2 linked regions of the Arabidopsis thaliana genome follow. The protein of the gene in region 2 interacts with the protein of the main gene of each other region in a pairwise test. Each region holds a gene or a part of one and is shown on either strand. Other genes may lie near its edges.

Region 1 (3,757 bases), on a different chromosome or scaffold from region 2:
ACTTTGATTCCAACTTATTATCTTTTCTTCTTTTTGTTTTTCAACCTGCAAGGAACGTCCCAGTAGATAAGTTGAATTTTATCCTCGTCCCTCTTTGAAGTCCACGTGAACTTCACGTGCATAGCCGTCACTCAATGTCGGAATACATTGTTTTTATTTTTCTTCTTCTGTGAATTATTTAGTTCTTCCTAATTATATACCTTCCCATGATTCGTGTTCGTTGCCCACACATTACTATCTCTCTTTTACTCACCTAAAAAGGCACACTATAACCTTATGTATCAAGTGACCGTTTTTTAAGATGAAAAGTGTTGACTGCTATATTTTATCATATACTATTTTAAACCAATCAGTCGTGTCAATTCTGTATATATGTTTTTTTCTCCTTTAGAAGCTAGGGTTGAACACCTTACAAATCGAAAGCAAGGCATTGTAAAAAACCACGTACCCTTCTACTAATTAAGCCTTCCACAAATTTAATATAATTTTAGTGTTCGAATGGTGATAAAGGATAGTGCAGAACATGATGCTAAAAACGAAAGCAATATATGGTTATGATAGAAGAGATTGACCAAAACATGTTGAACAAACATAATAGAATTATTAACATAACATGTGTTCAACTCATTTTATTGGTTATTTTGTGCAAGTGTGGTGTTTTAAATTTTTCTTTAAACATGCATTCCAAATTCATGTGAGCGAAGGTGTGAAAGCTTTAATGTATTTGCTGCTTGTGGCCAATCTTTAATTATTCCACCACATTATTCATTCCCTTAAATGTACTAAACAAATTGTAAGGAATATAATTTAAGGTTTTTGGTACGAAGTAATGAAGGCATGAAAGCGTTTATGTCTTTGCTCCTTATGGCCAATCTTTATCCTCCCGTTGTTGTGTCTCAAACTCGGAACCTTAACTTCCTCCTTGATCAAGAAATACTAGTTCAACTATAACAGACGTATATATAATTCTCATACACCAAAATAGGACCTTAATCTCAAAGACCTGCAACGTCGATGATACGTAAGTTGTCTTGTGTCAACACATTACATGATAATCTATGGCTGAAGAAATTTCGTTAAAATGGTACAAAGAGAAGGGTTTAAAAATATGTTTCGTATACGTACAAAGTAAATTAAAGCAGGCTATGTTCAATTAATCGCATGGTGTGGAATATTATAACACTGTTGAAGACGACAAAATAGAGTACAATGTTTAAATATAAAGAAAGAAAACTCGGGAAGATTCGTGGTTATAGACTCCTAGTCACTGGTGTAAAATAATAATCTATAGGAAAGATGGGAAAAAGAGGAGCACACTGCTTTTCAAAGGAAAATGAGTGGTCTCGAGCTCCGAAAACAAAGAAAAAATAACCTACAAAATTGACTAATTAACAGTAAAAACTAAAATAACCAAAGACAAAGACAGTTTATGTTATATTATACATATATACCCAATAGTTATCCACAAATGATCGGATCGCTTGTTTACTACTTCCTCCAAAATTTGGTCATCTTCGGGATCCACACCACGTCTCTTGTCCAGAATTGTCGTCAGCCACCTTATTTTTATGTTTACTTATTCTGATGGGATGCGACAATGTTTTCGTTACATGAAGTTCTTAAAAATATCTGATCAAAAAGAATGAAGCTCTTAAATATTTTGAAACATAACCAACAAACATTTCTTTTATATAAAGTTAAAATGAAAATTTTAAACATCCAAAAATTTCCATCAAATATATCTTGCCTTAACAAAACAGATACATGTTTTCTTGTTGGATAAATTATTTCATAATTTGGATCAAGTGAAACAAAATGTTTCTCCACTTTTAACTACGTTTGTACATTGTGCAAAAATCTAGAGAACAAGTATATCTGGAAGAAATGTAACCATGCAAGTGTATTCTCTCATTTAGGGTAAGTACATCCCATTAAACATAAAAATAGAAAAGTATATGTATATCCAATTCGTCTCATACATGCATACCACACAATTAATGATTCTTTATTCAATTACATCTTTTTACATAAAAACAGATGGCATAAGTGTAAATAAAGGGAAAGACGACCCAAGAATAAGGGGTCACAGTCGTTGAGGTTATAAAAAGCATCTCATAGGACTCAACCTCACCAAAGTCATATCCTATTGCATCACTCTCCTTTAAACACAGTCAGAGAAAACAGCAACTCTTGTCTGAAAAACTAGAGAGAGAAAATGGATCATGGTAGGTTAATGGATGATCAAATGATGCTAGGCTCTCAAGTGTACCCCTACACGACCCAACCCCAAAATTCACACTGCATCATCGTTAACCAGATCGATGGAGGCGAAGAATCAAAACCGGTGAAGCGGAGGAGGAAGAGGAGGAGTAAAGGTTCATCAGCCACCAACGAAGAAGACGTGGCGGAGATCGGAGGGATGTTGAGGAAGAGGAAGTTGACCGATGAACAAGTGAACATGCTCGAATATAGCTTCGGGAACGAGCATAAGCTGGAGTCAGGGAGGAAGGAGAAGATCGCCGGAGAGTTAGGTCTTGACCCGAGACAGGTGGCTGTTTGGTTCCAGAACCGCCGTGCACGTTGGAAGAACAAGAAACTAGAGGAAGAGTACGCCAAACTCAAAAACCACCACGACAACGTCGTACTCGGCCAATGCCAACTCGAGTCTCAGGTATAAATTTTATGTTTTTTCACTATAAAACAGAGTAAATTTGGTGATTCTTAATTTCATGTTGCTTGTTTTTTCGAAAGATGAGTAATTTTATCCGTTCTTAGATAATTAACATATAGTTTATTCGTCAATTAGTATATTTTGAGTATTTATTACACATATGTGAAATGTAGTTGAATCGAATTTTACAACTAGTGAAAATCCGGTAGCTAGCTAAAAAACACATGTTTGGGACCACACCACAAATATAATAAAGTGGGATATTTCGTCATCTCATTCTTATCCACCATTAAAAAAAAAAAAAAAGTTCCGTCCGTACAATCTCAGTTGGGCTCATGAGTGGCCCATTTACAGTTGCCCACTCATTTAATGCCACGTAAAAAACCCTTCTCTGCATTTGGGCTGACATGCCAGAAAATATCCTCCTCATTTGATGAATAACAAAATTAATTTATAACAATTTTTTTCTTTTGACATTAACTTTGCATTGTATTAAAACACTATTTATTTCACTGAATTGGTAGTAAAATATATCTTTTTTTTTTGGTTAACAAAATTACTCTTATTTTTGTTTATCTAGGTACTAAATAAGAGTTTTATATAAGATTTTCTTCTTCACATAGTGATTAACTATGGTATTAACTAATGATGTATTTTTTTGCTGTTGTAGATATTGAAACTAACAGAACAATTGAGTGAAGCTCAAAGTGAAATTCGAAAACTGTCGGAACGACTTGAAGAAATGCCAACCAACAGTTCAAGTTCATCGCTTTCTGTTGAAGCCAACAATGCACCAACTGATTTCGAGCTTGCCCCGGAAACTAATTATAACATCCCGTTTTATATGTTAGATAATAATTATTTACAAAGCATGGAGTATTGGGATGGTTTGTATGTATAATCAGTTTATCAACTAAATATCTCGTGCTTTATTGATGCAACTCATGTTATTATAAGTAATGTAGAAATAGGTGTTGGTGAAACGGTTGTAATTATGTGTTGTTTTCAGTATTTATTTTAATATATTACTTTGTTTATTATCACTTTGCTTCTTCTAGTTCCATATATATAAATCTTTCAAAAAAA
Region 2 (3,757 bases):
TCCAGATTCTACCCTTAATCTAGTTTTATTTTCTGTGTGATATCCCATCAGGCCAAAGGTGGAAGTTCTAAAGCTACTTCAAGATAAACCAGAACATCAGGGCTTGACGCTGCAGTAACTCACGTTCTATATATCTATCAATAATTCTTCTATCTGCATGACTTGGTAATGGTCACCATTAGTTTACAATCCCTATGCATTTTTAATTTGGCCAGTTTCGTGGAAGACAGACTCGCAACGCTGAAAAATGTCATAAAAGAGCCTGAATTAGACAAATGGAGTTTATACCTAGGTGGTCTCTTCCCTCTCCCATATCATCACTTCTGGTTCCCCTTATTGGTTATTCTGACAAAAACTTATCTCAAAACAGGAACCTGGGGATACAACACTGAGAAAGAGAGAGCTGAAGCAGCAGGCATTCCCAGGATTCAGGTTATTGAGCTCTCCACGTTTAGCAATAAGCTTAAATGAGTGCATATACTCATTGGAAAAGAAACAAAGCTTTCCTCTTTATTGTATTCTACGGCATTCAACGGAAACTAAAAACCAAACATGTTTAGGTAAGATTCAGTAAAAGAGTTGAACTTTCAGTACTACCCATTATAGAAGCTTTTCTGTGACCTATAATTCATCCTTAGTAAGATCATTCTTGTTACCATCACCATCTTCGTGATCTTTCCTTTGCTCAGCTTGAAATTTGTCAAAGACATCTTCAAATGGAGGATCTCCAGGTCTTCTAAACTCTTGCTTCCCTATCTTGACCTCGTAAGCTTCTTCTTGGCTCAGCACGAATTCCCTTAGCTAATTGAAAGATATGATTGTGATGTTAGATTTTGACTAATCCACTAAACAAAGTTTTCAGCATTGTGTGTTTTCTGTGGCTTTTACCTCAGTCACAAGCTTCCCATTTTGCATATTGAACATCACTGTGCTTCGATCTACAGCCATGAATCTTACTCCTATCCCTCCTGTTCTTAAAACTTTTGTCCATTTCATAGCAATATCAATCACCACATCCTGATTGAAACATATAAACAGATCACTATTCAATCCCCTGAAGCAACTGGACCCATATCGAATTCAGAGAATTTTGAACAGTAACTGAAACTATAACTTAAGGACCCCAAATTCACGATTCGATTTGGATTTTAGTTTACCTTGGTACGGGGGACGCCTAACCGGAGCTTGACGAAACCGACGACGGTTCCAAAAGTCCGTTTAGCCATTTCCTCTTGGATCTGATCGAATCCCATATTGGTGAAATCCGGAGGCGGATCAAATTCCGGGGTCGTTGCTTTCTTCCCCCACTCTTTCCATGACTCGTCTTCTTCATTGTCTTCAACGTCGTCTAGGTCATCGGAGATCTCGATCCGTCGCTTCGTTGCTTCGGCGATCCGGACAAATCCGTGAAAATTCATAAAAAGAAGGAGGCCAACAAGTAGAATCAGCGAAGAAGAACGAACGATCTTCTCCATCGTTTAACAAATTTATTCAGGAATCAGAAACAGAGGAAGAGAGACTGCATCGGCAACGGCATTTCTATATCAGTAAAGCTTCTACAAACTCGCACACAAGTCACAAAACCATAATAATGTGACTTTTTACTTGTTTCGGGAAAAAAAACTATTAACGACATAAACTGAACCTGCTGGTTCAAAACTGTTCGCCGTTTTTCTATCTTAAAATAGAACTGCGTGCCAACTATTGACGTAAAGATGGCAAGCATATCAAGGCTGAAAGATGAAAACGACACGAGGTTGCACCGTAAATAAAACAAGGGTAATTGTATGATTCTCTCTAATCTACTACTGCACTACAGAAGGTAAAACTAAAAGTCAAAATTTGTCTAATTTTAAATTCAAATTAATTAATCAAGTAAAACAAACATAAGTCTAATTTGATTTCCAAATTTGTTTTTTTTTTTCTTTTTTTGATTTCCAAATTTGTTTATAGTAGTATCATTTTAGTATTCTTATTACCCAATACGGAAACAAATATTTGAAATAAACATGGAAAAATTAAAAGTCATTCCATTTGGTTAACAAAAGGAACGTTTGGTAAATTCACACGTGTCTCATCGTCATTTGTGCAACTGACTTGTATAAGGAAGGGTACTTGTGGTAATAAAAGCGAAAACCGAGGGGTGGCCTCGTGAAACGCATTTTCCGTGTTCCAACTGTATCGAGGCGTGGGACCTACAATCAAAAATAAAATAAAATTAATGCCCCTTCCAAAAAAAAAAAGAAAGAGAAAAAAAAGAAAAAGGGAAGTAAGAAGCCAGCTAGGGTTTGACTGCGAGAAATTTCTGATCTGCGTGAATTTCTCAAAGAGAGGAATCGATCATCGATTCCGTGGATTTCGTTTCCCTCCCTTTTTATTTTTATTTTTCGAGAAGCCATCTCAAAGGATCTGAGTTTATACCGTTGCATCCCCCGCGACTTTCGTTTTCCGATTTCCCCCAAATTCGATGCAAATCTAAGAAGAGAGAGAAATAGAAAGGTGTGTGCGCTTCAACCGACTCAGTGTCTCTCTCTCTCTCTCTCTCTCTCTCTCTCTGTTGCTATTTGAGGTTTTTTCCTTTGCCTCGGGGGCTCTCGCTGTCCGAATTCTTTTGTAGGGATTTATTGGGTAGGGTTTTTCCACTTTTTTTTTGTCTTCTTCTACTAGCTTCGTTGTGCATTGGGTTTAATTGTTTCCAGTGTAGTGACTGTCAGATTCTTCGACCAATTGCATGCAATCTGGAGGCAGTGGCGGAGGGCCCGCTCGGAATCCGGCCATGGGTCCGGCTGGTCGGACTGCTTCCACGTCATCCGCTGCTTCTCCTTCTTCTTCCTCTTCATCTGTGCAGCAGCAGCAACAGCAACAGCAACAGCAGCAACAGCAACAGCAGCTGGCGTCTAGGCAGGTAAAGGATTCTCAAGTCTCTGTTTGGTTCGTTATGACTTAGGAGGGATAAAATGCTTGTTTGTAGTGGCTAATGTTTGTCTGTTAAACTTGCGGCTATTCAATTTTAGTGGGACTTGACTGTTTATCAATTCTGTGTAAAAGGAAAGTAACCAATATCTTTAAATTGAAGTTGTGTAATGGTAGCCACTTGGAGAACATGTTTTGTTCATTTCCACATATATATATAGTTGCTCTGAATTGTGGATTATTGTTCATTTGATTGTTACTAATTATTATCGTGCTTCTGATATGGCAGCAGCAGCAGCAGCACAGAAACTCAGATACAAACGAAAATATGTTTGCATATCAACCTGGTGGGGTTCAGGGAATGATGGGCGGTGGCAACTTTGCTTCGTCTCCGGGCTCTATGCAAATGCCTCAGCAGTCTAGAAATTTTTTTGAGTCTCCTCAGCAACAACAACAACAACAACAACAGGGTTCTTCTACCCAAGAGGGCCAGCAAAATTTTAATCCAATGCAGCAAGCGTATATTCAGTTTGCTATGCAGGCTCAGCATCAAAAAGCACAGCAGCAAGCTAGGATGGGAATGGTGGGTTCATCAAGTGTGGGAAAGGATCAAGATGCACGAATGGGAATGTTGAATATGCAAGACTTGAATCCGTCTAGTCAGCCCCAGGCCTCATCATCGAAGCCATCGGGCGATCAGTTTGCTCGCGGTGAAAGGCAGACTGAATCAAGTTCTCAGCAAAGGAACGAAACAAAATCTCATCCTCAGCAGCAGGTGGGTACCGGACAACTAATGCCTGGAAATATGATAAGGCCAATGCAAGCACCACAGGCTCAGCAGCTT

The links. Proteins that work in one complex are often made in the same cells at the same time.
Region 1: the proteins of BRM (region 2) and HB53 interact in a two-hybrid assay, tested with the Arabidopsis thaliana proteins (one large-scale study listed by BioGRID).

Annotation. Positions count from the first base shown.
Region 1 is NC_003076.8:26,632,191-26,635,947, forward strand, and holds HB53 (homeobox 53), read left to right. Parts: upstream 1-2,084; 5' UTR 2,085-2,215; coding exon 2,216-2,671; intron 2,672-3,341; coding exon 3,342-3,572; 3' UTR 3,573-3,695; downstream 3,696-3,757. UniProt on the Arabidopsis thaliana protein: Probable transcription factor that may play a regulatory role in auxin/cytokinin signaling during root development.
Region 2 is NC_003071.7:18,920,573-18,924,329, forward strand, and holds the start of BRM (transcription regulatory protein SNF2), read left to right. Parts: upstream 1-1,960; 5' UTR 1,961-2,628; intron 2,629-2,704; 5' UTR 2,705-2,731; coding exon 2,732-2,905; intron 2,906-3,202; coding exon 3,203-3,757. Other genes in the region: AT2G45990 (ribosomal RNA small subunit methyltransferase G), read left to right, coding at 52-114, 216-292, 371-471; AT2G46000 (LDL receptor wingless signaling/trafficking chaperone), read right to left, coding at 622-801, 889-1,017, 1,158-1,475. UniProt on the Arabidopsis thaliana protein: ATPase subunit of a multiprotein complex equivalent of the SWI/SNF complex that acts by remodeling the chromatin by catalyzing an ATP-dependent alteration in the structure of nucleosomal DNA.